2 linked regions of the Caenorhabditis elegans genome follow. The protein of the gene in region 1 interacts with the protein of each later gene in a pairwise test. Each region holds a gene or a part of one and is shown in the gene's direction. Other genes may lie near its edges.

Evidence for each region.
Region 2: the proteins of dcr-1 (region 1) and eri-1 interact in binary tests that used the Caenorhabditis elegans proteins (3 or more experiments, as listed by UniProt).

The regions. Positions count from the first base shown.
Region 1 is NC_003281.10:8,071,420-8,086,797, reverse strand, and holds dcr-1 (Death-promoting deoxyribonuclease), read left to right. Parts: upstream 1-6,516; 5' UTR 6,517-6,523; coding exon 6,524-6,574; intron 6,575-6,619; coding exon 6,620-6,782; intron 6,783-6,876; coding exon 6,877-7,010; intron 7,011-7,055; coding exon 7,056-7,215; intron 7,216-7,280; coding exon 7,281-7,420; intron 7,421-7,472; coding exon 7,473-7,844; intron 7,845-8,276; coding exon 8,277-8,459; intron 8,460-8,503; coding exon 8,504-8,632; intron 8,633-8,676; coding exon 8,677-8,919; intron 8,920-8,965; coding exon 8,966-9,120; intron 9,121-9,188; coding exon 9,189-9,555; intron 9,556-9,663; coding exon 9,664-9,843; intron 9,844-9,884; coding exon 9,885-9,953; intron 9,954-10,003; coding exon 10,004-10,154; intron 10,155-10,271; coding exon 10,272-10,602; intron 10,603-10,662; coding exon 10,663-11,255; intron 11,256-11,301; coding exon 11,302-11,483; intron 11,484-11,532; coding exon 11,533-11,838; intron 11,839-11,881; coding exon 11,882-12,197; intron 12,198-12,765; and 17 more. Other genes in the region: grp-1 (GTP exchange factor for ARFs 1), read right to left, coding at 1-302, 377-562, 880-977, 1,029-1,047; K06H7.7 (uncharacterized protein), read left to right, coding at 1,333-1,354, 1,406-1,586, 1,804-1,952, 2,003-2,182, 2,226-2,304, 2,368-2,485, 2,538-2,837, 2,887-3,012; apc-2 (Anaphase-promoting complex subunit 2), read right to left, coding at 3,190-3,384, 3,431-3,601, 3,646-3,841, 3,889-3,986, 4,031-4,264, 4,309-4,442, 4,533-4,671, 4,713-4,788 and 7 more. UniProt on the Caenorhabditis elegans protein: Component of the ERI/DICER complex which is involved in processing amplified double-stranded RNA (dsRNA) intermediates during small-RNA-mediated gene-silencing or RNA interference (RNAi). Involved in cleaving dsRNA in the RNAi pathway.
Region 2 is NC_003282.8:404,636-421,625, reverse strand, and holds eri-1 (3'-5' exonuclease eri-1), read left to right. Parts: upstream 1-1,667; 5' UTR 1,668-1,674; coding exon 1,675-2,009; intron 2,010-2,226; coding exon 2,227-2,347; intron 2,348-2,401; coding exon 2,402-2,503; intron 2,504-3,034; coding exon 3,035-3,107; intron 3,108-3,150; coding exon 3,151-3,274; intron 3,275-3,339; coding exon 3,340-3,475; intron 3,476-3,523; coding exon 3,524-3,721; intron 3,722-4,287; coding exon 4,288-4,455; coding exon of another isoform or gene 4,456-4,545; exon of another isoform or gene 4,546-4,758; intron 4,759-4,795; coding exon 4,796-4,905; intron 4,906-4,961; coding exon 4,962-5,070; intron 5,071-5,440; coding exon 5,441-5,531; intron 5,532-5,667; coding exon 5,668-5,849; 3' UTR 5,850-5,991; downstream 5,992-16,990. Other genes in the region: Phosphatidylinositol 3,4,5-trisphosphate 3-phosphatase and dual-specificity protein phosphatase daf-18, read left to right, coding at 1-62, 630-1,028, 1,081-1,200; T07A9.12 (uncharacterized protein), read right to left, coding at 6,122-6,308, 7,036-7,184, 7,275-7,376; kgb-1 (GLH-binding kinase 1), read left to right, coding at 12,740-12,805, 12,849-12,940, 13,591-13,720, 13,764-13,879, 14,588-14,672, 14,722-14,893, 15,063-15,323, 15,370-15,476 and 1 more.

The DNA.
Region 1 (15,378 bases):
ACGTTTGGATTATGTAATAATGTATTAACCATAATACATGAATATGCTACTGTATGTGCTTGATCTGCATTTCCATATGATGGATTTTGATTCGCGTAAACTTCTGCAAATTTCTCCAAAATTCGATTAATTTTCTGCGATTCGCCAGGTAGCCGGAAGGAAAATAGATATTGACGAAGAGCTGGAACAATCGGAACATCATGCAATTTATGTTCTTTTGTGAATCTGTCAAGGGTTTCCAACGCAAATGGACGGTTATCACCCAGTATTTCGCCGATCGCACTTTTAGAAAGTCCTTCGCCCTGAAAAATTGCAGTTGAAAACATAATAAATAGATTTCTATTAAATAATTGTTTTAAAAAATAAGAAAACTCACAGCTTTCATCCAGAGCGCCAATGCTTGAGGATCCTTTGCAACTACATTTCTTGATGCCAACCAATCCAACGCTTTCCATGGGTCTTGATTGAACTTTTTTCGGCCATTCACCACTATTTTGTGATATTCTTTTGATTTTGGATGGGTGTAATATACTTGATCGAGTTCTTCGTCAACTTCTCGTACCTAATATGTTGACATATTTCGTAATAGACAGAATTTAAAATAGCACACATGGAGAACGTCATTTTGCTTTTTTAAATTTATTGTTTTTTTTAGAAATCAAAGATAGCTTATCAAAGTTTCAGTTATTAGAAATATTCTTCGATATTTATAACAAAAATCTAAATTTTTAGAATGCAAAAACAAAACCGTAAAAGGCATCACAGAGAATTGATTAATATAATTTTGAAAAATATTATTTAAAATAGAAAAGTGAAGATTTCCGTTCTAAAGATTTTTGTTTGGCTAAAACATTCATTAAAACTAATTAGTTTTCACACCTCATTTTTTAGCGCCTCAATTTCATCGACAAGTTGTGCCTTCCTCTTGCGTACTTTGGGAAGAGTCATCTTCTCCGTCTCCGATAGTCCATTTCGTTCTGAAATTATCAAAAGCGTTGAAATTTGCTTTAATACTCAAGTGTACAAACCTGAATACCGCGATGACATTTATCCCTTGTTTTTCCGCTGCATACACAGACTTCCTTTTTCAATGCTGAAAAATGAATTATTTTAAACGTTTTAAACTTTAAAACAATATCAACTCAAGAGAGAAAATGACAAATCAGGAAAAATACAAGCAAAGAAAAACTAATTGAAGAAAAAGAAAAACTCTTAAATGTCGTACAATGTGGTGTCTACTGTGCAACATCCCTCATAGTGTTTGCACACAATTGTCTACAGTACTCTATAACATAATTCTAGGACCTAGACTTTTTTCCTTTCTTGTGCGAGATGTCGTTTTCTGCCGGAGAAAGTAAGTTAAAGTTATACATATGAATATAAAATTGAAGACTTTCAACTTCAGGTTCTGCCGCAACGGGAGACCCTCAAGATTTCAATAAATTCTTTGGTGAAATTAACAGTCCATCCGAAGCTGCGAAAACAATCAAAGCAATACCTAAACCATCAGTCGCTCTCCCAGAATCTTCAGAATGTGCATCATATTGTGCTAGTTGGGTTAACGACCAGAGTTTTGAGATTTTACCGTATGTCACTTTGAAATATTGGTCCTCATCAGGGCTGTGCGGCAACCGGCAACCAAGTTGCCGAATTTTCGGCAACCAAAAGTTGCCGGTTGCCGAAATTTTTAGGGTTCGGAAACTTCGGCAATTGCCGGTTGCCGAAAATTTTTGGGTTCGGCAACTTCGGCAATTGCCGGTTGCTGCACAGCCCTAATCCTCATGAAATGAATAAGCTTTCCAGAACCGATGAAGAAAATAGGCAAACGGAATTCAGTTCCTCTCCACTTTCGGATAGTGTTCATAGTTGCCTAGGATTTAATCGAAAAAAGGAAAGAAAACGGAGGACGTCTGGAGATATTGAACAAACTGATAAGAGGAAGAGAACAGAAGGTTTCAATTTCACTTTAATTAGTTTTAAAAAAATTAAAGACATATTTCAGAACGACCTTCTGATAAAATAACATTTGCTTCTAATGTCTTCGACAACCTGGCTCGTGTTACTGCTGAGAGAGATAACCCAGAAAAACTATCGAAGTATAAGAATATTCCTGGAGTAGGGACAAGAGAGAATATTGATGAAGGAATAAGTGATATAAATCAGCCATCATCAAAAAGTAGTGGTCAGTTATAGACTGTCTGATTTAAAATCACTCTTATTTTCAGGTGTTAAATCGAAATACGTCGAAGTGATGTCATTGTTTCAGAAAAGTATACAAAAGTTCTCCATTATGAATCTTGATTAGTTAGTTTTATTTTGCGAAAATTCGATTTTTTAAAATCCTTTGCAAACAAATAATATTTTCAGCATGTACACATTTGACTGGAACCACTACTCGAAAAAGAACATTCAATATGTTGTGTTCACAAAGGTCTGCCAATCACACGCCCCAGGTCATTTTGTCGAGATGCTAAAGGAAGATTGTGTAATATTTCAATTTCGATCTCTTTTTGGCAATTATCATTCTCTTTATTCAGAGTTGCCGAGACTGTGGAAGTGCTGATTTGGCAGTTAAAGTTCGCCTTACAGTACCACTTGATTTGTCTGATATCCCGATACCATGCAGTGAAGATATACAGATCCACGTGTCATTTCTGGCTGACGATCTCTTGGAAAGACATATATCATCAAATGTGAATAGAAGTTCGAATAGAGATGATCTGGACTTTTCGAGAAGAACGTGTGAAAAGATGTACGATTTGTATCAAAAAATGATGAGAGGACAATCAAGTCGCATGTACACAGAATGGTTCGATAAGTGCAAAATTTTTGTGAAGGTTCGGAAAAAAAGTGTTCAGACTGAATTAATATAAATATGATTTGCAGAATTTTCTCTTCTCCAAGTCGCTTCATCTTTATCACGGAAATGTAATACGTCGAAAGATTGAAGAGAGTCAAACGTTGAATAAACGACGATGCTTCATCTTTGCACAAATTTTTGATCTCGAATAGTTTTTGTTTAAATTTTTTTATTTCTTTGGATCCTCTTGAATCTCAAAATCGACTGTGCCATTTTTTGTTGTTTTTTAATAAATTGTTTTGAAATATTTTATAGAATTAGATCATCATAAATACCAGCTTTGTTTAAATTTAGAAAAAAAAAATTTCAAGATTATAAAATGAAAGAAGTTATTCGCCGTCTTTCTTTTCCTGAATGATACGATATGACCCATTAATGCAGGTTAGCAGTCCCAGCGCAACTTTTCTTTGCAAAAACGCGGAAACATGATCAAGAGTGGGTCCTGCAGAAGTTGGAGAACCGAACATACGGTAGACACGATGCATCCGTTCCGCTTTCACTTCTCCGTTAGGTGCATGATTGGCCTGAAAATTGATTTTTTTATTCTTATATATTTTAAGTTTTACTTACAATGAAATTTCTAGTATATCCCCAATATTGTTCTAAAGCATCAACCATATCAGAATTCTCTTCCGGTTCCACATCTTCATCGTCTTCAAGGTCCGGTGTGCCTGGTCGAACGATGGAAATTCCACTTGGATTCCGGGTCAATGTCCACGTGTCGCTACTGATAATGGGATTCTGAGAATGAAATTATATGATAACTTAATAATTTTCTATTTTACCATGCAAATAAATCCTTGTTTAACCAGCCATTCCAATCGTTTTCTTGTCACAACCACTGACATTCCCATTTTCTCGACTACTTCAGCAGTTGTCCATGTTTCTTTTTCGAGGAACAAGAAGAGGAGAAGAGCGTACATATTTGGAATTGTTCGATCTACTTCAACTCCATCGATATTGATAGAAACCTCTACACATCTTTAAAAAGTTAAAATTCACATGATAATTCAACAAATGAAACTTACCCAACACTTCTTAACCATTCTAATTTTCTGTCGCGCTTCACGTCCAGATAAGTTTCTTGGTAAACGTCCATCGCAGCTTGCAATGGTTGAGGCATTAACTGAAATAATTTTTCATATTGTAACATTGTTGCAATATTCTCACCGCTTCTGTTTTTTCAGTTTCCAACTTTGGCCAATAATGACTTGAGATGATACATGCAGAAATTGGAATAATCGGAACATCATAATTTCCAGCGCTTCTTTCACTCATGTCTTCAAACTTTTTATCAATATCGAGACTATGAATAACGTCCCGAAGCATCACTTCACAATGTTGTAGCTCACTGTATTGGAATCTCAGTTTCAGCAAGTCCAGGTATCGCTTCTCGAATTCAGGCTAAAAAAGATATAGACTTCGTTGAAAACGAAAAGAGTACTTACATCTTTGTTGTCCGAACTCGAAAGTCGTTCAGCAAGAAGATTTCTATATTCTTTGACAAAAAGTTCTTTGGATCCATATACAGAGACAAGCATATTGAAGACGTCAACACCTTGATGCCCGGGTGCTCCATCACCTGAAAATAAGAATAACATTTTAATAACTTTTACTGAATTTGAGAGAATTGTCATTGAACTTCCGTGAGTTTTTATCTGTAATCACTAACCAACAGTAGCATCAGTTGGGTTAGGCATCCAGTTTTCCCATCCAAGCGTCTCCATATTTTCTGGCAAAAAATCATCGTTGACACCTTTCAGTTCTTCCTCGTCCATCATTGCCGATCGAACAGTTTTAGACTGTAAGCTCTTGAAAAGTGTTAGAAAACGTTTTTTTAGTACACGCTTACCATATCTTTTTCCAGTTCATTTTTCTTATTAGAAGTAATGTAACTGATAATTTGTTGTACAGTGTCAGGTCGCCTTCTGAAAAAAAAATTAAATATAATTAAACAATCAGGAAATAGCTTACTTCAAATATTCTCTGATAACTCCACAAACTTTATGCATAACCACGCAACTATTGTCCATTTCACGAAGAGATTCTACGCACGCCGCATAAGCTTTCAAAATGTCTTTTGTATCAACCGCTGAAATTTTAAATATTTAAGTTTTAAATAATTCCCCTCACCAACTTACATGCAACAAGAAGTTTTGTGTTAACTTGATCTATCAAGTAATTTGTGAAATCGACTCTCCCATGATTATTAGTTCTCAAAAGGCAATATTTCATTGTGATGAGACTGCGAAATTTTACTGGAAAATCTACGGCGATCATTTCATATGCCTACAAAAAATATTTTTTAGGTTCCAAATTTTTTTAAAAACTCACGTTTTTGGAAAGCATTTGGAAGACATCTTTGTAAATAGTGTCACTAATTAAATGGAATGCGTCTTGCATTGTTACTTGATCTGACCAAATCCTCAGACTCTCCATAATTTCTTGAAACATTGAACATCTCAGCTCATTGTCAAAAGCCGCTTTCTCGTGCATCACCAATGTTGCAGCAAGCTCGCGAATATACACTGAAAGTGCTGCGTTCATGTGACGATTTGCATTGAGAATTCCAGTTTTTCTGAAAATGTTATATATAATTTAGGAAGTCAGGCTTTACCCACAATTCATTGACAAAAGGATTAAAATCTTGAACATATTGCCCGCATATTTCTTTTTTTTCTGGTGTCCACAGCTCTTGGTTTAAATCGATTCCATGATCGATTTTTCGATGAGGAAGGTACATGGCAACTGAAAAATGTTATTGGAAACTGGGGCTGAATGAAAAAAAAATACGTCTGTAATTAGTGAAGTGCGACATAAAATAAGGTCTGAGAACTTTGATAACAACTTTCTGCATGGCCAGTGGGAAGATGAGCTCTGCAGCATCGCGAATATCCGGTTGACCAACGCCTTTTTCCAATGCAAACTGAAATTATTTTCCATTAGCTTGTTACACCTCTATTTTCTGACCGTTTTCCATAAGGAGAAGATTTTTCAGAGCATTTAATTGAGAATAAGGCTAATTTGTTCTTGATTGGATTTAAAAATTTTAAAACTCACCATCAGGCATTCTTGCTGTACTCGTTGCAGAACTGTCGTCATATCATAAACTTTTTCAATATTTTTTGCGTATTTTGCGTGATATATCAGAGCATCCCAGACTTCTTTTTTCTTTGAGACGCAAAATTGTCTGAAAACTGTCTTTACGGAACTCATTTTCAAAAATTCCATACCTGTACTTCATCGCAGCCTCTTTCGAAGTAGTCATTCTGTCAAAAATGGACATTTTCGAAATGGTTAAAATAATTTCAGCAAGGATACGAGAAGAGAACGATGACAAATGTGTGAGAAACTGTATATATTAAAGGATCATGCTTAAAACGAAGGTTGGGGTCTCGGAAACTACATTTCCACAAAAACCGCGAATAAATGTTCCTTTAAAAATTATACGAAAAAATGTTTGTTTCTTTTTTTTCACACGATTTTTCAGAGTATTTTCTTTCAAATTTCTGTCGATTCCACTTTTCCTCCGTCTTTTGAATGTTCCCATGAAAGAGACATAGACATTGGTTCAGTAGAGCGCATACTACGGGGCAGTCAGCGGCAATTATTTTTTATTGTAATTTTTGAACATTATCAATTTTCCCTGTTTTCAGACCAATAATGGTCAGGGTAAGAGCTGATTTACAATGTTTTAACCCCAGGGACTACCAGGTAATTTTTAAGTAGCAAAATAAATTAAAAATAATCGATTTTCAGGTGGAACTTTTGGATAAAGCGACAAAAAAGAACACAATCGTCCAACTAGGCACTGGTTCAGGAAAAACTTTCATTGCAGTTCTACTGCTGAAAGAATATGGAGTTCAATTGTTTGCACCATTGGATCAGGGTGGAAAACGAGCGTTTTTTGTTGTAGAGAAAGGTAATTTCGTCTATTAAAAATAAGCCAGCTGGCCAGTAAAGTGAATAATTGACAAAAAAAAACAAGATTTATTCTAAAACATCATTTTTTCCAGTAAACCTCGTTGAACAACAAGCTATCCACATCGAAGTTCACACAAGTTTCAAAGTTGGTCAGGTCCACGGACAGACAAGTAGTGGTTTATGGGACAGCAAAGAACAATGTGATCAGTTCATGAAGAGGCACCATGTGAGTGAGAATACGAAGCTGAACTATCGAGCATATATATTTCAGGTTGTTGTGATCACAGCTCAATGCCTTCTTGATTTGATTCGACATGCGTACTTGAAAATTGAAGACATGTGTGTTCTGATCTTTGACGAATGTCATCATGCTCTCGGTTCTCAACATCCATACAGAAGCATCATGGTCGATTATAAGTTATTGAAAAAGGGTAAGTATTGAGGAATTAATGGTGAAACTTCGAATTCGCTTCAAAATACGGAAATATTTTTTCAGACAAACCCGTCCCACGTGTATTAGGACTCACAGCCAGTCTTATCAAAGCGAAAGTTGCGCCGGAAAAACTAATGGAACAGTTAAAAAAGTTGGAATCTGCGATGGACAGTGTTATAGAGACAGCTAGTGATTTAGTCTCGGTATGATTTAAAAAAGACAAACAAAGACTTGTTTCCAATAAAACTAATTTAGCTCTCGAAATACGGTGCGAAACCCTATGAAGTTGTGATCATCTGCAAAGACTTTGAAATTGGGTGCCTGGGTATTCCGAATTTCGACACAGTTATAGAAATATTTGATGAAACTGTAGCCTTTGTGAACACCACAACAGAATTTCATCCAGATCTAGATTTGGATCCTCGTAGACCGATTAAAGATTCTCTCAAGACGACGCGAGCTGTTTTTCGTCAACTGGGACCTTGGGCGGCATGGCGAACGGCTCAAGTTTGGGAGAAAGAGTTGGGAAAAATTATAAAATCTCAAGTGCTACCGGATAAGACGTTGCGGTTTTTGAATATGGCAAAAACATCTATGATTACGATTAAAAGATTGTTGGAACCGGAGGTGCGTACCTAACAAGAGACGTTGGAAAATGGTACCTCGAAGTATCGTTATGGTATAGCAATTTTTCGACAAAAAAGTGTTATCATTCGAAAAAGTTCGTAACTCCCTACTCACCAAGAGAGCTACAAATCTTGAGCAAGATTTCAAATTGTAAGATTGTAGCTCAATTCATGGCTTTTTGAGAATTATGGGCTGAAGCTTGAATGCTATATGTTTTTTAAAAACAATTTACGAATATTTGGAAACACTTTTTTTAAGTTGAAAGTTTTTTCAAAAGGGGTGAAACTGCTCGGACGCAGCTGAATTTTTGGAATGATCCTCAATAACACTTTTAATCTAAAATTACTATTCTATATTGAACTCCAAGTTAGCATTTTCCAACTTCCAGTGTAAGCAATCAACTATTAATTACACCAATTTTTTCCAATTTAGATGAAGAAAATCAAAAGTATTGAAGCTCTCCGTCCATATGTTCCTCAACGTGTCATACGTCTTTTCGAAATCCTAGAAACTTTCAACCCCGAATTTCAAAAAGAACGAATGAAGTTAGAAAAAGCAGAACATTTATCAGCCATTATTTTTGTCGATCAACGGTACATTGCATATTCGTTACTTGTAGGTTTATATGAATGTTACGGTAATATATTGTAAATTTTCAGCTTATGATGCGTCATATTAAATCATGGGAGCCTAAGTTCAAGTTTGTGAACCCGGATTACGTCGTTGGAGCCAGCGGACGAAATTTGGCGAGTTCGGATAGTCAAGGATTACATAAACGACAAACTGAAGTAAATTTATGTTTAAATTATCATTGTCTAAATATAATTTTTAGGTTCTTCGCCGTTTCCATCGAAATGAAATCAATTGTCTTATCGCTACATCAGTGCTTGAAGAAGGTGTAGATGTTAAACAATGTAATCTTGTGATTAAATTTGATCGACCACTTGACATGAGATCATACGTTCAGTCAAAGGGAAGAGCTCGGCGAGCTGGATCAAGATATGTTATCACTGTTGAGGAGAAAGATACTGCGGCGTGTGATAGTGATTTGAAAGATTTCCAGCAAATAGAAAAAGTAATATTGGAATCTTCAGTTCAATTGTTTAAAAAATGATATTAAGATTCTTCTTAGCCGCCATCGTACAGTCAACAATCCTATTGAAGATGATTCGGATAGATTTGAAGAATTTGATGTTGATTCTCAAATGGAACCATATGTTGTTGAAAAAACTGGTGCAACATTGAAAATGTCAACTGCTATCGCATTAATTAATAGGTATATTAATAATTTCACTTTAGAAGTTTAATCCAACAGCTAAATACAAACAATTGGTAATCTTCCAGATATTGTTCGAAGCTTCCTTCCGATATCTTCACTCGTCTTGTTCCACACAATCAAATCATTCCAATTGAAGAGAATGGAGTGACCAAATACTGTGCAGAGCTTCTTCTTCCAATTAACTCACCGATCAAACATGCAATTGTGCTCAAAAATCCAATGCCAAATAAGAAGACTGCACAGATGGCAGTTGCACTTGAAGCATGTCGACAATTACATTTAGAAGGAGAACTCGATGATAATTTACTTCCAAAAGGAAGAGAGTCGATTGCCAAATTATTAGAACATATTGATGAGGAGCCGGATGAGTATGCACCTGGAATTGCTGCTAAAGTTGGATCATCAAAACGAAAGCAATTATATGACAAAAAGGTATTTTCGTATATTCGATTTTCTAAAAGTCGCTCAATTCAATGAAAATAATTTAATTATCGGAAAAGTAATAGTGATAATTAAGTAAAAATAATTAAAAATTTACAGATTGCTCGTGCTCTCAATGAATCCTTCGTGGAAGCAGATAAGGAATGTTTCATCTATGCATTCGAATTGGAACGTTTCCGGGAAGCCGAACTTACGTTGAACCCGAAAAGACGAAAGTTTGAAGATCCATTTAATTATGAATATTGCTTCGGATTTCTGAGCGCAAAAGAGATACCAAAGGTACATTTTTCTGTTTGATAGCTAATAATATTTATTTGTAGATCCCACCATTCCCAGTGTTTCTTCGACAAGGAAATATGAAAGTCCGATTGATTGTCGCACCGAAAAAGGTTTTCACCTGAAAATGAGCTTATCTATTTTTACAATTCCTAAATTTCAGACTACCGTAACCGCTGCTCAGCTTCAAGAGATTCAACTGTTCCATAATTATTTGTTCACACAAGTTCTTCAAATGTGTAAAACGGGAAATTTGGAATTCGATGGAACATCAAATGCACCATTGAACACGTTGATTGTTCCACTTAACAAGCGTATGTTCTACGTCATATTCAGATATTTCTTCAAAATTAAAGCATGTCTACTAAATTATAAGGATAATTTTTTCAAAAAAAAAAATTCTACAGTATAAAAATGAACTCAAGTTATAGGAAAAGATGATATGTCCTACACAATCAACATGAAATATGTATCGGAAGTAGTTGCAAACATGGAAAATATGCCACGTATTCCAAAAGATGAAGTTCGTCGTCAATACAAATTCAACGCTGAAGATTATAAGGATGCGATCGTAATGCCGTGGTATCGAAATCTGGAACAGCCTGTATTCTACTATGTTGCTGAAATTCTACCAGAATGGAGGCCGTCGTCGAAATTCCCGGATACGCACTTCGAAACGTTTAACGAGTATTTCATCAAGAAATATAAATTAGAGATTTATGATCAGAATCAAAGTTTATTGGATGTAGATTTCACATCTACGTAAGTTATTTTGTCAATCTTGTCCAAAAAGTCATAAATATTCATATTTAAATTTTTCAGTCGTCTTAACCTTCTTCAACCTCGAATTCAAAATCAACCACGTCGTTCAAGAACTGTGAGTAACTCCTCAACGTCAAATATTCCTCAAGCATCTGCTTCTGATTCAAAAGAGTCGAATACTTCCGTTCCACACTCTTCACAACGTCAGATCCTTGTACCGGAATTGATGGACATTCATCCTATCTCTGCGACTCTTTGGAATGTTATAGCAGCCCTGCCAAGTATTTTCTATCGTGTTAATCAGTTATTGTTGACTGATGAACTTCGAGAAACAATTTTGGTGAAAGCTTTTGGAAAAGAGAAAACTAAACTGGATGATAATGTTGAATGGAATTCTCTGGCATATGCAACCGAATATGAAGAGAAACAAACGATAATCGTTAAGAAAATTCAACAATTGAGAGATTTAAATCAAAAATCGATTGAAGATCAAGAAAGAGAGACGAGAGAAAATGATAAGATTGACGATGGTGAGGAGTTATTCAATATTGGAGTTTGGGATCCAGAAGAGGCAGTCAGAATTGGTGTAGAAATTAGTTCAAGAGATGATAGAATGGACGGTGAAGATCAGGATACTGTAGGACTAACACAAGGTAGAACATATTTGGTAAAACAATTTAATAATCATCTGAATTTCAGGACTTCATGATGGGAATATATCCGATGAAGACGATGAACTGCCGTTTGTAATGCATGATTACACAGCCAGGCTCACTTCTAACAGAAATGGAATTGGTGCATGGTCAGGATCTGAGTCTATTGTTCCAAGCGGATGGGGAGATTGGGATGGACCTGAACCAGATAATAGTCCCATGCCTTTCGTAAGTTTCAATTAGAAAACATTTACCATCTACGAAGAGTCTTTTCCAGCAAATTCTCGGTGGACCAGGTGGTTTGAATGTGCAGGCACTGATGGCTGATGTCGGAAGAGTTTTTGATCCATCTACTGCTTCGTCTTCCCTTTCTCAAACTGTACAAGAATCGACAGTTTCACCTCCAAAACAATTGACAAAAGAAGAAGAACAGTTTAAGAAACTTCAAAATGACTTGCTGAAACAAGCAAAAGAGCGACTTGAAGCTCTAGAAATGTCAGAAGATATGGAGAAACCGCGAAGATTGGAGGATACTGTGAATTTAGAAGATTATGGAGATGATCAAGAAAATCAAGAGGATGAGGTAAATAATAAATAATTTAAAAAATGAAAAAAAAAAATTTCAGAATACACCAACAAATTTCCCGAAAACCATAGATGAAGAAATTGAAGAGTTGTCAATTGGAGCCCGGAAAAAACAAGAAATAGACGACAATGCAGCTAAAACTGATGTACTCGAAAGGGAAAACTGTGAAGTTTTGCCAGTTGCTATAAATGAAAAGTCTCGTTCATTCTCTTTTGAAAAAGAAAGTAAAGCAATAAATGGACGACTTATAAGACAACGATCAGAGGAATACGTGTCACATATTGATTCAGATATTGGATTAGGAGTATCTCCATGTCTTTTGTTAACTGCTCTTACTACTTCCAATGCTGCAGATGGTAAGTTTTAACAAAAAATTGTTTTTGGATCGAAAAACAAAATAAAATTGAAATTGTAAAAAAACACGAAAAGTGTCAAAAAACAAAAATGTAGATTTTGGATTAATTTCGAAACCTTCAAATTTTTAGCTCAAAACAAAAAAATATTTGCAAAATAGGAAAGTATTTGAAATAAAAATGTGAAAATGAAGAAAAAATATTATCTATGAAAAAAAAATTATTAAAAACTTTCGTCAAAATTCCAAAAAAAAAATCGAGAAAATTTCTAGTTCTTCAAATGATCTGCGAAGTAAAATATATTATATTTAACCAGCCGTGGACCGCACCTCCGGCGCGGCCCCCGACTTCTGGGGCTGAAAACTAATTTTTCTGAAACTACCGTAACCCTACAGTATTCCTACCGTACCACTCTTGAGCCACTACAGCACCCCAACTATATCCCTACACTAACTCCAACTCACTATCCCCACAGAAGCCAAAACTTCACAGACTACATAGACTTCATAGACTACAAACTATGGACACACAGAATAAGCGCTTTATATATAGTAAATGATATAAATTTCAGGAATGTCATTAGAGAGATTCGAAACAATCGGAGACTCTTTCTTGAAGTTTGCTACTACCGATTATCTCTATCACACGTTGCTTGATCAACATGAAGGAAAATTGTCGTTTGCACGTAGTAAAGAAGTTTCAAATTGCAATTTGTATCGACTGGGCAAGAAATTGGGAATACCTCAATTGATTGTTGCAAATAAATTCGATGCTCACGATTCTTGGCTGCCACCATGGTGAGTTTTTTTTTTCAAATTGTGATTCTGTAGTCATATATCTTATTTTGTTCCAGCTATATTCCAACTTGCGACTTCAAAGCTCCTAACACTGATGATGCAGAAGAGAAAGATAATGAAATTGAACGAATTTTGGATGGACAAGTGATTGAAGAGAAACCTGAAAATAAAACTGGATGGGACATTGGTGGTGATGTCTCGAAAAGCACTACCGATGGAATAGAGACTATTACATTCCCAAAGGTAGTTAAAGTTTAATCTATAACGAATTATTAAAATCGTGATATTTCCAGCAAGCCCGTGTTGGTAATGATGATATCTCTCCACTTCCTTACAACTTGCTCACCCAACAGCATATTTCGGATAAATCAATCGCTGACGCAGTCGAAGCTTTGATCGGAGTACATTTGCTGACGTTGGGACCTAATCCAACGCTGAAGGTTTTTGTTTCGTTTTTGACGGATAAATTCTGATATTTTCAATTTTTAGGTGATGAATTGGATGGGACTGAAAGTAATTCAAAAAGATCAGAAGAGTGACGTACCTTCACCTCTTCTACGATTCATTGACACTCCGACCAATCCGAATGCTTCTCTAAATTTCTTGAACAATTTGTGGCAGCAATTCCAGTTTACACAATTGGAAGAGAAAATTGGGTTTGTTTTTATTTTTTTAATTGAGCTAGAAGTTCCAAAAATGCAATTCCTTCTACAGATATCGCTTCAAGGAACGTGCTTATCTTGTTCAAGCTTTCACACATGCTTCGTACATCAATAATCGTGTCACAGGATGCTATCAAAGATTAGAATTCCTCGGAGACGCTGTTCTCGACTATATGATCACCAGATATTTGTTTGAAGATTCTCGTCAATACAGTCCGGGTGTTCTCACTGATTTACGATCAGCTCTCGTCAATAATACAATTTTCGCGTCGTTAGCAGTGAAATTCGAGTTTCAAAAGGTTCCAAGTTTTCATTTTAACTTTAGTTAACATTTCTCATAACTTCAGCACTTCATCGCTATGTGCCCAGGGCTTTATCACATGATTGAGAAATTTGTTAAGCTGTGCTCGGAGCGCAATTTCGATACTAATTTCAATGCTGAGGTAGGGAAAGCTCTCACAAAAATTGTTGAAAATTGCAAAGGGAATTCGTTCATATTAAGTGAACAATTTATTAAAAACTGTAAAACTAATTTAAATTTTTAGATGTATATGGTGACTACTGAGGAAGAAATAGATGAAGGCCAAGAAGAGGATATTGAAGTTCCAAAAGCGATGGGTGACATATTTGAATCAGTAGCTGGCGCCATTTATCTCGACTCTGGACGTAATTTGGATACCACTTGGCAAGTGATTTTCCACATGATGCGCGGGACTATTGAATTGTGCTGTGCGAACCCACCAAGATCACCGATTCGAGAGCTTATGGAGTTCGAGCAGAGCAAAGTTCGATTCAGTAAAATGGAACGAATTCTCGAGAGTGGAAAAGTTCGAGTTACAGTCGAGGTTGTTAATAACATGAGATTCACTGGAATGGGAAGGAACTATCGAATCGCGAAAGCTACTGCTGCGAAAAGAGCTTTGAAGTGAGTTTTGATGGAAAATGCTCAAAGCTCCATAAATTAACACGTTTTGCAGATACCTCCATCAAATTGAGCAGCAAAGAAGACAAAGCCCATCATTAACAACTGTTTAAATTACCTCTTCACTTTCTGTGATATGCTAAGTATTAAGCTATGTGTTTCTAGGATCTATTGATCTGATTTTCCTAATTCTCCAATTTTTACTCGTTTCTATTGAATTTCATATGTATTCTGAAAATATACAGTTTTACTTGTTATCTTTTTTGTTTTTATTTTCGAACCAAAATTGGAACATCTTACTAAAAAATGGAAACTTTTCCTTTTTTTATCACTCGGCCGCCATTTATGAATTGCACACAAGAGGGGGTATACCTTAACATTATTTAAAGATTATTATTACACGGGCGAGAAATTTTGCGATGTTGTACCAAAAGTACGGTATCCGGTCTCGATACGACAAATGTTTATCAAATGCGAGAAGGTGTGTGGCTTTAAAGAGTACTGTAATTTCAAACATTCATTTCTGCAGAATTTTCTTTCACTTTTATCCTGTTTCTTTCATTTCGCAGCAACGAGATTTTGAAGTTACAGTACTCTTTAAAGGTGCACACCTTTTGGAACTTAATAAAAATATCGTGAGACCGTGTGCCGTGTTATAGGAGCAAAAATAGCAAAACTGACTATTAGCCACACCGATAAGAAGTCTGCATACTGTTTTTTTCCGGGCCAGATGCATGTAGGTTTCTGGTTTTAATTATAGGACCGCAAGTGATATTGAATGTTCCATATTTTCCATACCAATA
Region 2 (16,990 bases), on another chromosome or scaffold:
ATGAATCATACCATCCAAATACGGCCGGTAACATGCTGCGTCAGGATTATCACACTGATTCGGTGAATTTGGTTTGAAATTTTAAATTTTGGAATTGAAAGTGAACTTTTTATATTATATGCGGGACCCCTCAATCTACTCACCTTCCTAGGTGTAATTTTTCTAATAATTATTCCTATTGCTATAGTTTCTAATTATATTTCTATATTATCAATATTATAATGTTTCCTCGCTGAAAACCTGCGTATTCATTCGTTGCCAGTGGTAAGTTATATTAATTTTCATTCAGATTTTTAGAGAAATATTTTGAGTATTTAGCTATCGTTATTAAAATAATGATTTTCGTATTGTTCTTAACATTCTGTTAGGTGACTATTTTCTTGTATCGTTGAAGTCCATGCTTCAAAAACAACGACTTTTTTGGCTTAAATACGCTTTCAACGTCGAAAATATTGCCTTAACATCACTTTGGGCAAATTTCTTATTTTGAATTCGATATGCTCGTTTTATTAGCTTCCAGAAAATATAACATTCGACCCATAACTCTCTGATCACCAAAAATAAGAACTCCTAGTAAGATCAAAAACTATCGGGAAATGTTGAATGTATTTTCAATATTTAACTTTCAGGAAGTGAAAATAGCTGAACAAGAGGCAAAAGCCTTCGTTGACCAGTTGCTTAATGGACAAGGTGTATTACAAGAGTTTATGAAGCAATTCAAAGTACCATCGGACAATTCCTTTGCTGATTATGTAACCGGACAGGCCGAAGTTTTTAAAGCACAGATTGCGTTACTGGAGCAGTCGGAGGATTTTCAACGAGTTCAAGCGAATGCAGAGGAAGTCGATCTTGAACACACTCTTGGTGAAGCGTTTGAGCGATTCGGGCACGTTGTAGAAGAATCGAATGGTTCTTCTAAAAATCCAAAAGCCCTGAAAACTCGAGAACAAATGGTGAAAGAAACTGGCAAAGACACTCAGAAGACCCGCAATCATGTGCTTCTACATTTGGAAGCTAATCATCGTGTGGTGAGTAATCTTTTTTATTTTTTATTATGTGATTAAAATGTTAATTTTTCAGCAAATCGAGCGTCGTGAAACGTGCCCGGAGCTACATCCAGAGGATAAAATCCCAAGAATTGCTCATTTTTCCGAAAACAGCTTCTCGGATTCGAATTTTGATCAAGCTATTTATTTGTAAACCTAAAACAAAACTTTTAGAAGATTTTCTTCTTACTGACCCTCCAATTTTCAGATAATTTCAATGTTTTAAGTTTTCTCTTCAAAGTATCATTCACTTTCTGTATAGTGTTTTGTTTTTTAACAAACTATTGTTCGATTATTTTGTATATTCATATTATAGCTCTCAACTTCCCGATTTTCCACGTATATATGTATATTTTGCCGGGTGAAAAATAGCAATTCCCTATGAATGTATCCCCTTCCATCTGTTTTCTTACTCAGAAATTGTAATTCACATTGCGGGTCATCACTAATCCTATGGGCTTTAACACAATTCTCCCATAAATTAATTGTACTTACCAATTTTTTGTTTAATTATTTAGATTTGTAACATTGAAATTGGTGATAATTCCAAAGAAAAATTATATTCTCCGATACATAGAATCTAGGCGCATTCGAATTTACATTGTTTTTCTAAAATTTCAGTTAAAAAATGAGCGCAGATGAGCCGTCTCCAGAAGACGAAAAATATCTGGAAAGTCTACGAGATTTGCTGAAAATCAGCCAAGAATTCGATGCAAGTAACGCAAAACAGAATGACGAACCAGAAAAAACAGCAGTTGAAGTGGAATCGGCTGAAACCAGAACCGACGAATCTGAAAAATCAATCGATATTCCACGTGAACAGCAACTTTTACCCTCCGAACGTGTTGAGCCTTTAAAATCAATGGTGGAACCAGAATACGTGAAAAAAGTGATAAGGCAAATGGATACAATGACTGCTGAACAGCTAAAACAAGCGTTGATGAAGATTAAAGTGTCCACAGGGTAAAATTATGCTAAATTCATTCAAACTTCTTATTTTCCTAACAGAACCCAATTTCGTACATTTAAGATATAGCTTTGCTTCATTTTTGATAGTTTTGTTAAAAAGAAACAGCATTTTTTGAATCATTTTGCGTTAAATATAGTCATCCGTAAAAGAAATAATGTAATTTTCTTACTAAAATTTCGAAATTAACTTAAATTATAACTCTAATTTCAGCGGAAACAAGAAAACTCTTCGAAAACGGGTTGCACAATATTATCGAAAGGAAAATGCATTATTGAATCGAAAAATGGAGCCGAATGCCGATAAAACTGCACGCTTTTTTGACTATTTAATTGTATGATTTTCAGAATTTCTGGAAAAGAAATACTTTAGTTATTAATTATTTCAGGCAATTGATTTCGAGTGTACGTGCGTCGAGATTATATACGATTACCCACACGAAATCATCGAATTACCGGCAGTTTTGATCGACGTTCGGGAAATGAAAATTGTAGGATTTTTTCATCTTTGAAAATGGAATATGTCGAATTACGCATGTCGTGTACTCCCCGCGGACAAGGATTGAACAGTTCTCAGTTGAAATTCTTGATTTTGGATTTTTCCTCTGGGGTTTCGGCTCGAATTTTATTTTTTTTTTTCGTGTTTTCCCGCAAGAAAATCATTTTTTCCGGGAAAAGGTGACAAACGTTTCGTCATCCTATCGAAATCTGGAATATAAAAATGTATTCAACAAAAAACGTTTCAAATACAACATTTTTCGTCTTTTTTGGGTTTCTTATTTAGCTATAAAATTTGTTTCGCTTGTGAAGAAAATATTGGAAAAAAATAGAAAAATCCTTCTCCCATTTTTCAATTTAAGGCAGATGGAAGTTCTTTGGTGTATTATCAAGTTATAAAAACTGACTAAACTGAAAGCTTTTTTTGTTTTGTTTTGTTTATTTATTTTAGGAATATAAATAAAAAACGAAAAATATATAACTTTATAATATCCATCGTCAAAATAAGCATATTTAATTTCCAGATCAGCGAGTTTCGAACCTATGTCCGACCTGTCAGAAATCCGAAGCTCAGCGAATTTTGTATGCAGTTTACCAGTAAGACACTAATGTCATTTTTAAAATGTAAACCCTGTTGTAGAAATTGCCCAAGAAACAGTCGATGCTGCTCCATATTTCCGAGAGGCTCTTCAACGGCTGTACACATGGATGCGAAAATTCAATCTCGGACAGAAAAATTCCAGATTCGCATTTGTTACTGATGGGTAAGGAATCGAAGACGATTTTTTGTTCACTAAAACTTCAAAGTTGTGCATAACGAACTATTCAGACCTCACGATATGTGGAAATTCATGCAATTTCAATGCCTTTTATCGAATATTCGAATGCCCCATATGTTCCGAAGTTTTATCAACATCAAAAAGACATTCAAAGAGAAATTCAATGGACTTATCAAGGGAAATGGAGTAAGTTTTTAAGGTTCAAATTTTAATTAAAACCTCAATTCTCTTCAGAAATCCGGAATTGAAAACATGTTAGAACGTCTGGATCTGTCGTTTGTTGGAAATAAACATAGTGGATTGGATGATGCAACGAATATTGCAGCGATTGCGATTCAAATGATGAAGTTGAAAATTGAGTTGAGAATTAATCAGAAATGCTCGTATAAGGAGAATCAACGGAGTGCTGCGCGAAAGGATGAAGAGCGAGAGGTTCGAAACAGACTACGTCGTTTTCACCCGATGGGTTGACTCTCCCATTCGGTCTCGGGTGTCAACAAGTGATTCCATGTTTTGAAAAAAGCTCTTCCCTCAACCCTTAAAATTTCGATATGAAATTGTTTCAGTGCATTTTTCACTAATTTGGAGACCTGTTGAATTGCTCTAAATGTTTTTTTGCAAAGTTCAATGTTTTTCAGAACGGTTATAAGTAGGTGAACACTCTGGGAGATTTTTGGACTTTTTTTTGTTGTGAAAATCTGAACATTTTTGGATCAAGTGGAGTGAAGAAACTTTCAGATTTTTTTCAAAAAATTACAAATTTTTGAAAAATCTCCCAGAGTGTTCACCTACTTCTAAACGTTCTGAAAAAACATTAAAGTTTGAAAAAAACGCATTTGGAGCAATTCTACAGGCCTCCAAAGTAGTGAAAACAGGCACTGAAACAATTCCAGATCGAAATGAAGTCTGACGATAAAATGGAAACCTTTCCTTCTTGTTAGGAAAATTAGGAAATAGTTCATCACAAATTTCAATTAAAAAGTTATTAAATTTTTCAGTTAGAAGACGCTGCAAACGTGGATCTTACATCAGTCGATATCTCTCGTCGTGATTTTCAACTTTGGATGCGTCGTTTACCACTGAAACTGTCCTCTGTGACACGACGAGAGTTCATAAATGAAGAGTATTTGGATTGTGATTCATGTGATGATTTGACTGATGATAAGGTGAAACATCTACATTCTTGTGATATTTATGAAATTTTCGATGAAAAAACTTCAGCTAGTTTTACAGATTCAAAGTGTTTGATTTGCTAGGCGAATTTTGGCAAAAGTATACTTATTGATGTAAACATTTTCCCTATCAATTTTGTGTCTTAGCCAACGAATTTCCAAATTTTATTTCAAAAGTAAAATTCCATGTCAAATTTTACATTTTTAGTTTAAAAATTATGTTTCTTCCAAGCCCACATTTTTCATTGAAACTGGTATAGTTGTATTTGATTCGCCCCGAATAAATAATTTTCTGTTTCCATGTTTTATACACACAAAAACTCAAAATTTTCAGAACGACGAGGCGGCATTCCAGGAAAAAATGGCAATTCGAGAGTATTTGGAGAATAAACAGACGGAAGATTTCGCGAAAATTGCTGCTGAGCGGGGAATTTTTAAAATTGGGTAATGGACTTTGGATGGAATTTTGAACAAAAAAATCTAGTTTCTGGCGTTTTCAGTGAAATAAAATCATATCAAACTGCAAGACCGATAATAGAGGATGATGACGTGGATGTTGAAAGTGAAGAGGAAGATTATGGAACTGAATTTGAAATGTTGGAAGTTGTGGTGAGAATGTTGAGAAAAAACACTTCAAAAATATCAATTTTGTTTTTAAAAATCAACGCCACGATTCGATGAATCGAAATTCAAAAATTCTCCGAAAAAGCGGAAAACTCTGCTTTTGAAATCAGAAATTTGCAATGTTTTCCGGGATAATCGAAAATTTCTTTCAAAAAAAAATTAATGTAGGTATAAATTTCAGATTCATCGTGGTGTGGATTTTAAAAATCCGCGAGAGAAAAAAATTCTGAATAACTAAGCTTTTCGATTTTCGTATAATACAAAACCGAACTTTTATTTTGTTTTCAAATTTTAATAAAATTCGAGCAAAAAACCAAATCGATTTGGAGTTTTAATAATTAATTTTTTCGTTCAGGAAAGAATGCCTCCAGTTAGTTCTACGTTACACACTGAAGTCGATTTAGATGCTGTATGGGAACGAGATGGTGGAAGTGATTCTGAAAGAGGTACGTCGAGGGAATTGCAATATGGAAATTGCATTAGAAAAAGCTTGAAATTCTGTTTGATTAAAATGTCAATTCAATTGCTCCCAAAGTTTAAATTATTGAATAGCACTTAAAAAACATAATTGTGAAAATTCAGAAAACCTCTCAAATGCTCCAAGTCTCCACGAGTTTCCATCGTCATCCACATCATCACCACATGCCACGTCAGAACATGTGACGTCATCATCACCACTTCATATCGACGATGACGTGGACCGCGTGTTGAATGCGCCGCCCAAAAATTCGTTGGCATCGTCTTCAAATCGATCTAGTTTCTAGATTTTCTTGTATACGAATTTAATTATTTTTGCAGGTTTTGTAGTATTCGAGTATTTCATTTTCATTTTTGATCTCAATTTTTTTTCGCTCCAATCTTTTTTCTCCTTTAAATCGCGTTTATATGAAATTTGTCACATGTTTTATTTAGGTTATACACGGATGACGTTTCAGATGGTATTTATTTGTATTTCTTTTGGAAACCCGTTGAAAATAGGAAAAAACAACAATAATGTACAGAAAATGATAGGAAATGAGAAGAATGAGCAGTTAAACTAGTTATTTGTTGCCCGACACATTTGAAATCCCCACGAAGCCAGGAGAAGCCACATTGGCAAAAAAACCATCCCATACGTATTCCGATTTGCAACTTCTGATTTCTCCAACTCTCCACTGATTTTTTCAACGATGAAGTATATGAAGAGCGTGATGCATGTGAGACGGAATATGTTGAGAATTACTCTGAAAAAAAAATATATATTGCATGTTCAATTTTGAATTTTCTGTTTTCACAGATGATTCGCATTTGGTCTGTCGCAAGTAGGAACACGTAATTTGCGTTCAACGGGCTATAATTTCGCAGTTATGTATTCCTACGGACTGGTCTCGCCACGATCTTTCCGGCGGCCGCTTCATTTTAATAAGAGTTTCAGAGTTGTAAAACCATTTTTGGAAAGACCACAAGAATCTTGAATTAAGCCAATATTTAAAAAATTTATTGCTGTGAGAACTATTTAAACTAATCTAAACGTCTTTAGGTACCAGAAAAGTTTCAGAAAAATGCAAAACAGAGACAGTTTTTCTGCGTTAGAGTTGTAAAAAGAAGGTTATTTCAGGCATTTAACTCGAACTCCAAAATTTTGATTTTTGCTCCAGGCATACGGTACCTGATCTCGAAACCATAAATGCGAAAAAATTGTGCGCCTTTAAGTGAGTTCTGTAATTTCAAACTTCAATTTTTGAAAAATTTCCATTGATTTCTTATGAAAATCGATCAAAATTCAGCAGCAGAGGAATTTTGAAATTTCAGTACTAAATATTTAATAAAGGTACACGTTTCTACATTTAACGACAAGTTCTCTTTGGTGCAAAAATTGCAAAACCGCGACTCCAGGTTTGCCAACAGTTGTTTATATATTTCATCAAACACAAATGAAAATTTTAAATTAAAAACAGGTTCAAAACTTACCTAACAGTAGGACCTCTATAATCCTTAAATTCGACACATGATCGAAGATAAATGATGAATACGAAAAAATAAGAAAATGCAAGTCCAACGAACAAAGGAGATGCCACCCACATATATGAGATTGATACTGTTTCGTGCAGTTTTAGACACTGAAATTATAACTGTTTTAGATGAACTTATTTATAACTGAAAAATAATATTCAAAATGGTTTACTTTCGTAAGCTTTTTTTCAACATACCAACATGACCGAAGATACGATAATTGCTGCAAAATGAACCCATAATTCGAACAATGTAATGTCAAACCAAGTTGTCATCTCTCGAAGTGTTAGAAGCACCATACTAAAATTCTGAAACTCGACTTTTGTACAAAAATTCTTAGAGGATATAAAAAATTAAAGGAACATATCAACCAAATTTTTTAATTTATCATCTTAAAGTCGTTGCAACATGTGCTTTGATAGCATGACGCCACTAGTTTTTTTTGCAGGACTTCGAAAAACTACGTAATATCAGTGATAGTGTCAGTTTGAATTTGATCACGGCCCGAGAAGTGGTACCTGTACGCAATTTGTCTACCGTACCACTGGCTGCGTTTATGCATTTTTCTCAAAAACGTCACCTTAGTTTTTTAAAATTTGGAAGACGAAATGACCAAAAAAAAAGTTATATAATTTTCGTAGGTGAATTTTTTCCATACCTTCTGTTTGAACCAGGAGGTTATGCTTTGTGTCCGGTAGAGGGCATTTACACTGATGTACCCTTTGCCGGGCCGTGATGATATTAATTCCTGCAAGTTTCCGCTGCGGTGTTTACGTATCTCATGGGAGATCGAGGCCTCAGCTTTTGGAGCACTTGAAAAAGTAATTGAATAGAACAAATTTGCTCGCAAAATAATGGGTAGCTGAGCGGCAGAAATAGAAAATGGAGTATGTTCTAAAAAACCAGTCAATCAACAGAAACTAAGTATTATTATTTTCTATATGTATTTAAAACTTATTCCGTGTGTCCATAGTTTTTAGTCTATGAAGTCTTTGATAGTGAATTGGGTTTAATGTAGGGATATAATCGGGGTACCGTAGTGGTACGATAAGAGTACTGTAAGTTTACGGTAGTTTCAGAAAAAAATAGTTTTCAGCCAGAGAAGCCGGGAGCCGAGGTGCGGTCCACGGCTGGTATAGTTATATAGTTATAATACCCGGTTGTTAAAACTATATAGTTATATACTTAGTCTTTGTTGACTGACTGGTCTTATTAGAACATGCTTCATTTCTGGGTATACCCACAAAAGTCAGAAATTCAGAAAGGACAAAAAACAAAGCTTAAAAAGTCAAGAAGGTCAGGGCTGTGCGGCATCCGGATTTTTCGGCGAACCTTAATTTTTTTTTTCGGCAAACGGCTTTTGCCGTTTGCCGAACCTCTAACATTTTTCGGCGAACGGCATTCGCCGTTCGCAGACTTATAATTTTTTTCGGCGATCGGCATTCGCCGTTTGCCGAAAAACCCAGTTTTTTCGGCACTTTTCGGCATTTTTAAAATTTTTGATGTTTTGTTGTTTGTTCTTGCATTTTCTAAATCTAAATAGTTCAATTCCAAAGTTTGATAAGGAGTGTCTTGGTTTAAATTTTCAAGCAAAGATCAATTTCATATTTAACCAACCAGACTGTTGAGATAACCAAAAAAGGATCCCAGAGGAGAGAATGATTCAAAACAATTGTACACGTGGACAGCCATAGACAACATCTTCGAGGGTTTTATGGTGGGGTGACGATGTGTCGACAAAAAGAATATGGCTACTAACTCAAATATGTTGATTTTTGGGAAGTGTTAGAAATACAGGTGACTTGGGAGTGTTCGGATACAAGAGACACAGAGATGTCCCCTGATTGTTTGCAGAAAGCAATTTTTAAGGGTATGACTACAATGTTTGTACATTAATGTTTCAACGGATGAATGTGAAAAACTTGAATATATATTCGATTAACTTTAAAAAAACATTTTTCACAAATGCCGAAAAATGACGAAAATTTTTCGGCATTCGCCGATCTTTTAACCGAAAATTTTTTCGGCGAACGGCATTCGCCGTTCGCCGAACCTTAATTTTCGTTCGGCAAACGACATTTGCCGTTCGCCGTTTGCCGCACACCCCTGAATTGAACGTTTTACTTTAAAAAAAAGGGACATGTTCACTTCGGCAAAGCTGCCTGTTTGAATTTCCTCCAAAAGAAGAAATGCAAGACCAATCGGACGGATTGTGTGGAGTTTGAAGACGCTGATTGGCTCGAAAGTTCAAACGTGTAACAGAGAACCCTGCCATTGAAAAATCACGTTTTTCGACAATGAATTTACATTCTTACCCAATTTTTTCTCGTTTTCTTTGTGGTATTCCAGAAGTTTAAATTATTTTTGATGTTTTCAGGAAAATGATAAAATTTGGCCACTTTTCCTAATGTTCTCTGATATTTCAGCACACGCGTCCATTCTCAGAAAAAAAACACGAATAACTGCTGTTTACCACATTGTACTTTCATCTCTCTTTCAAGGAACTATTTTTTTATTTCTATGTATAATTTTCTTGAGAAGAAGTTTTTATTTTTTAAATAGATACAAACTTTTTTGCGTTGAAGAATTGTTCAAAAAGGTAGTTAGGATAGACAAAAATTCAAATTCAAAACTATTTTTCCAATGAAATTTATTATTGTTTGATCAGTGAAAAAAGTAATATAGAACATCTTTTGTACAGTACACTAATTCGATTTGTGTGCATCTTTACAAAATTGTCTCCTTCATCCAAAAATTGGATTCTAGAAGTAAATTTCATAAAAACAGTATTCTATTATTTTTGTTACGAAAATATTTCACAATTCTCGGAAGAAAACGAGATGATTGTGGTTATTGGGTAAGTGTTCAAAGAATATACATAGAAGTTCCAAATTTAAAGGTGGAGTAGCGTCTGTAAGTTTTTTGCCATAAATGACAGAATAGAGACCCAATATACTAAATATAACTGTTAAAAAATGTAGAAAATGTATGAAATTTTTCTAATTTTTTAATGATTTTTTTCTTAATTTTACAAAAATTTAAAAAAAAGGACTGAATTAAATTTGAACTCCCGCGCAAATGAGTGACGTCATTTTCGAAACTTTTGCGTTTTCAGCCTATATTAATAGGTTTTTCTTCATTTTTCCTTTGTTTTATAATTTGAAATACAGTCTGTCAATTTTTCAGACTAAAAGAAAATGTATGATTAATTTTGAATAATTAAGCCAATTTCAGAGTTTCGGTAAGTTTCTTCGCAATTATCAAGTTTGAAAAATGTTTGAAAAATTGAAAAATTATGTTTCAAATTATAAAACTAATTGTAAGAATAAAGAAAAACCAATTAGTTTGGCCGTAAAACACAAAATGTCGAGAATGACGCCATTAATTTGTGCGAGAATTCAAATTTAAATCGGCCTTTTTGAAAAAATCATAAAAAATTTATTATTATTTTTTGATTTTTTAACAGTTATATTTGGTAAATTGGGACTGTATTCTGTCATTTATGGCAAAAAAACCACTACTTCACCTTATAATTTAAAATTATCCAACTCACTATCTCTGTGTTTCATTTTAGCATCGAGTTATCACTTCCGATGACTAACAAATGGGAAATCTAAGGAATAATGCAGAGATTGAAAAGAATTAGAGAAACAAACAGACAAAATCAAGTATTATTTAACAATTGTAAAGAACAACCAAAAAACCCCACAGGAAAGACCACACAGAATGTGGACCCACGACTTTGGGAGATTAGGCACCTACGAGATTTCATGGCCCAAGTTAATTGGGTAGCGCTTTGAGTTGTCATAAATGTTAATAATTGAGAAAAAGATATTTAAAACTTAAAACGTACATATTAAACTTATTTCTTATAGAATTTACTTTCAAAGCTTTTATTATAGGCGGTCGATTTGTTCTACGGCAACTCTATTCTCCAAAACAGAGTGGTGTCTCTTTTCTGTCTGATTCTCTACTTCTCTACACATTTTCAATCCTAGGTGTGTCTCTCTCTGAAGGATGAAATCTCTATTTCTCTGCATCTCCTATTTGGCTTCAGCCTATCGCTTCTCTTCCGCACACAAACATTCACTCAGTGACGTAACTTTTAATACCTACACTATTTCTCTCTTTCGCATTGTCAACTTATATATATATATATGTATATAGATCATTCCTGTACTATTTAATTTTTAATTATAACTTTTTAAAAAGGTTATTTATGATTTAAAAAAAACAAAATCTAAAGTGTCTTTAAAGTGTAAAAGTAAAAATTGGCAGGCTGGGTATACTGCCTTTTTTCTTCAAGTTTTCGAATCTAAGTAAAAATAAAAAATTTCCCCTGCTTTTTTAATACAATTTTAGTTTGAATTTTACTTGTTGAGAATAATAGACTTCAATTATCTCGATGCAGTATTATGTATTTCACTAATAATTAACAGCAAATACCTCAAAATTACCCCGAACTCGAACTATTGCTAGAATAAACCATTCGAGTAACCCGTGTATTTATTGTAGAGTTCGTGAGAAAAGGATTAAAGGATTAAAGGACGATCCGTTCTTCAAGCGCTATGCACTGCGGATCTGGGAGTCAGGTACACTGCCTGGTGGTGATCCCACTAAAAAAGTAATTAGAGTATTATAGAAAAAATACGATCGCCCAAAAATAAACAACGGCGCAACGACACTCCGCTGTTTCTGAGACCCGCCCACGATTTCATTTGCACTGCGGCCGACACATTTCAGTGCAAATGAAATCTTGGGCGGGGTTTAGAAACGGTGGAGTGTCATTGCGTCGTTGTTTATTTTTGTACGATCGTATTTTTTCTATAATAAAGGTTTAAAAAAAAGAAACACACTATTGGATGTTACATTCCAGTCAACTTGATACCTAAAATATTTAAATTTTCCATTGAAATTAGTGTTGACTTTTGTTTCCTAAATACGAACATCCTTTCAAAACCAAGCGCAAAAAGTGTAAGATCATTCACAACTGAAGTCAAATTTTTGAAGTGTGAACATTTTTTGCGTCATGCAAATATGAAATATGAGTTTATGAGTCGATTAAAAAACATAAAAACCCAAACAAAAACGCTGAAATTTCATTAAATGTTAAAAAATGACTTCTTTATTACAAATCCAAAGTTATGATTAAACATTTAAAGATTAGCTGCAAAGATTATTTATTAAACTACATATCTTTCTATTTTTAGTCTATTTTTTAAACATTGTCAGGTTTAGTTTGCACTTCAAAAAATGAAAACTGTATTTCACTAACAATATGTACATATATCCCCTCCCTCATTTTTTTTCACTCCAGAAATGGAAAGTCAATATTTGGAAAGAAAATAATTTTCCAAACTGTTAGAATCTCCGTTTTTAAGATTTATTGATTTCTACGTGGGTTGAAATGACTCAGTTTTGATGAAACTCAACAATTTTAAGGCATTTTTATCAGTTCCGGTTGGAAAGGAAAATCAGAAACATTTTTGCAAGTGATAAGAATTATGAAATTTTTATAGATTTTTTCAAACGTTTATTTGGAAATTGAAATTATACTTTTAAAAATTTAAGAAAAGCTGAAATTTAATGACTAACGTTTATATTTAATTTTTGAATTTTAAGTATTTCTCCCTGAAACTAATAACTTTTTAGGCACAATAAGATGGAAGTGGATCTGCCGGTACATAACGAGTATGATGCGTCTAGATTTCATCAAGTTACAATTAGGGTTTGTTACTAGATACTTTACCTCCATTCAAATTCATTTTCAGGACCCGATAGCCGGCGCGGACAGCACTTTCACTATTCCAACTCGTTATGTAAACCTTAGTTTTCTGAATGCCGGCGCCCAAGGAACTGTCGTGTGAGTTTTTACTAATTACATTAATATTTTATTGAAGGAAAAATAATAGGGCGAATTTTTTAACGCAGTAAACAAAAAATTTCAATAGACAAACAAATATTAACACTTCAAAGATGTTAATCAAAGATTTGATAGATTGCCAAATTTTCGAATAATTTTTACTTTTTCAAACATTTCACACTTTACTGCAAATTATAGCCCCAATAATGTTCAAATACCAAAAGATAAAATAAATTTTTTGAAAGAACTATGAATTTTAGTCATTTTAGAAACATATGGCTGGTTTCAGAGAATCCTTTCTCTGGTCGTACTCCATCTTTGAATGTCTCACTGCCTTTCAATTGTATATTTTTACACTTTAACTTTTCTTCGGTTTTGCGTAATTTCAAACACTGACACAATGATGACTTCCCGAAAAAAAACGGACCGCCCTATCAAAAAACTTTTAAAACAGGTAGAGGTCTCGAGATCATTGTTATTCGTCATTGCCCGCTGCTCCACCTCTAAGATTGAAAAAGCTTGAAAAAATCAATAATCAAGAAGATCTTCTAGAAGAATGAAAGTGACTGAAATTAAATTATCGCGCAAATGACTTCAAACAGAATTTCTAAGTTAAGTGAACAGCCATAATTTTTATTGATTACATTTAGAATGGCCGATGACCTAGTAACAACGCAACGTGTGGCAATCAAGAAGATGCAACAACCATTTGTGATGACAATGAGCGCAAAGCGAGCATATCGAGAGTTTATACTGCTAACGACTATCAAACACCCAAATGTAAGATTCAGTTGGAATCTAGAAAAAATGCTCCAAATTTCAGATAATCCGTCTACTAAACGCGTTTACACCGGACACTTCACTTTCAACGTTCCGAGAAGTATATCTAGTTATGGAATTAATGACACACAATTTGCACGAGGTTATACATCGATTAAGGTAAGAGACATGGTGGCTGATTTTTATGATTTTTTTTCAGTAATACCAATTTTTATAGTAATATCTAGTATACTAGACGTAATTTAAACTGTATATGATGGACTTGTTAGAGACTAATAGACGTAAAATATTATTTTTCTGTTATTGATTTTGAGAACAAAAGAATAAAAATAAAACAATAGGAAAAGCACGATATCTTAAAGAAGGAGTGGCGGATTCATTTTTGCTCTAATAAACTCAGAACGACTCCAAAATATCAACCTTTTTTGTCTCAATTTCACGTTTAATAAACATATTCAACAATAATAATAAGTTTATTGCTGACACTTTTCAACAAAAAAAACTTTTAAAAAAAGAAAGAAACAAGGGCAAAAGCTAGACTTTCAATTTTGCCGTCTTTCGCGTTTCCCAAGGTCGGAAATACATTTTTATCCAACCTTGAGTACCCACTTGGAAATGTGCCGAAACCATCATCAAAACACGCACAGTTAGCTACCAGAACACGCGTAAAAAAATAAAAAAAATATTCCAGCGTGTTTTGAAAATTTTTGGTCAAGATTTTAGTTAACTACCAAAAATCAGAATTTTTAAAAAAGTTTAGAACACTTGCACATTTGAGCTCCTATTCATGATTGTTCAATGATTCAATGATTGAATATTGAATATAAACACATAATTAGATTCTAAAAAAATTTTCTGAATTATTAGATTGGACCATAAAACATTATCATTCTTCGTCTACCAGAGTTTGTGCGCAATCAAGCATCTTCACAATTCGGGAGTCATTCATCGTGTACGTATCTACCACTATAGACAACATTCTGAAAAATTCAAAGTTTCAGGACTTAAAACCATCGAATATTGTCGTCAACGATCGATGTGTATTAAAAGTTTTAGACTTTGGATTGGCCCGGAAGAAGAATGTGGACACATCGATGAGAATGTCAGATTATGTGGTGACAAGATACTACAGAGCCCCCGAAGTTATATTAGGTCTTCCCTATTCGGAAAAAGGTTTGTTCGAAAAAAAAAAAAATTTTTGTAATTTTGGGCTGGACTTCCATCTGCGCTCCGGTGAGCCGCCTCAAACAGCCTCACGCCGTACGTATCCGCATGTAAAGTGCGCGTAAAACCCCAAACGTGTCGGCCGCTTCCAAACAACACTCTCAATTCATAATTGCAGTAGATATTTGGTCAGTCGGATGTATATTTGCTGAAATGATCAACCATACCGTACTTTTCCCTGGAAAAGATCGAATTGATCAATGGACTAAAATTTATAGTGTTTTGGGAACACCAGATGATCATTTCATTAGTCAATTGGGTCAGTCAGCTGCTATGTATGTTCGATCGTTGCCACGTCATCAGGCACGAGCATTCAGTGAAATCGTTCCTGATACCAATTTTCTGCCGGAGACTGAAAATCCAAGGGTCCATTTGACACGTGAGTCAGGCTATACAGGATTTTGAAAAATAAATCATATTTTCAGCACACGTGGCTCGTGATCTCCTGTTCAATATGTTGAAAATCAATCCTGAAGAAAGGTATTCAGTTGAAGATGCACTGAATCATCCATATGTTAAGTTGTGGTTTAAGGTACAACAATTTTAGCACTAAACAAAAACAATCAAATCATGCATCTCAAATCTTACAGGACGATGAGGTAAACGCCCCCGCATCAGAAAATCGATACGATCAGGAAATTGATTTTGCCGATAAGACACTTATTGAATGGAAAGAGCTAATTTTCAACGAAGTGCAACGCTATCAAGCCGACCACGACATTTTCACTGGATAATAAATAATAAAAAACCTAAAATTGTTTCTTTTTCTCTCAAAAATAATTGTGTTACTTTTTTCTTCAAAAATCTATCTTTCAGTTGTGTTCTGTCACTTAGTTGGCCATATTTTCTGGTGATTCTCTGCTTATTTTCTATATTGATTATAATCACTAAATGTTAATTATTTTGGAATACAGATTTTTTGGAACTGTTTTGTTTTAAGTATAAGAAATTGAACCTTAGCTCCACAAAATTTGCATCTCATTATAAAGTAGGGATTGTTTTTCGATTGTATTGTCAGGTTTAAATTCAAAATTCTAAATCAATAAATTAATTTTTTAGGGACCAGGTCCCCTATGAGGTCGCCACAGCGGCGCCCGCGCCGGCCTCACAGCGTCAATCACAGTGCATGTATCCGAATATATAGTGCGGCAGGGAACCCGATCGTGAAGTCCGCGCCTCACTTAGCTGGGAGACCTATAGGTTTTTTTTCTTCAAAACGATGCTTTAATTTTTGTTCTCAAAAACAAAATGAAGCCAAAATGGGAATCCAGAACGACCGGACATTAAATCACACAGATGGACAATGGTGGTCTTGAATAAGTACATTTATTTCACAAAAATTGAACATTCAGTAAAAGATGAGGTTTGAAGACTGAAAAGTGGGCTGGACAACAGAAAATCGACTTTTGGGTAGTAAAAGATTTTTGATATAAAGATGGGAAATAAAGTATATGGACATTTGGACAAAAAGAGAAACAGAGACGCCTTGAAATGTTTTCAAATGATTCTTTTAGTATTCTATTCTAGAATTAAGAAAAGCGGATGGAAAATATTTTTTTGGAATCTTGATATTTTGTAAGTTTGAACTTTTGGGTTTTGGAATTCCGAATTTTTGTTATTATCATATTATTTTTTGAAAAACCGGAATTTAGCATCAAGTCTGAGAGATTTTATAAAATAAAACTAACAGGAACAGTTTGAACAACAAACAACTAAACACAAACGGATAAATATAGTAACAAAAAACAAAGTTTTGAGGCGTACTAAAAATTTAAGCAATTATGCAAGATTAAAGAAAAATAATGAGAAATGTTTATGAAAGTTCTGAATTTGTTGAAAGTAAAATCAGGGGCTCACAGTGAATATAGAAGTACTCTTGAGAAGAATGTACTCTAAAACCTTTTTTTTAAAGTTGGATGGGAGAAGAACAATAGGTGGAACAAAAAGTACAAAGGCGACGAAAACGTCACAACTCGAGAATTAATTGTTTTTTTTTAATTTTTAAAGGCTTTTCTAAAAATATCCAATGATTCATAAAAATCATTG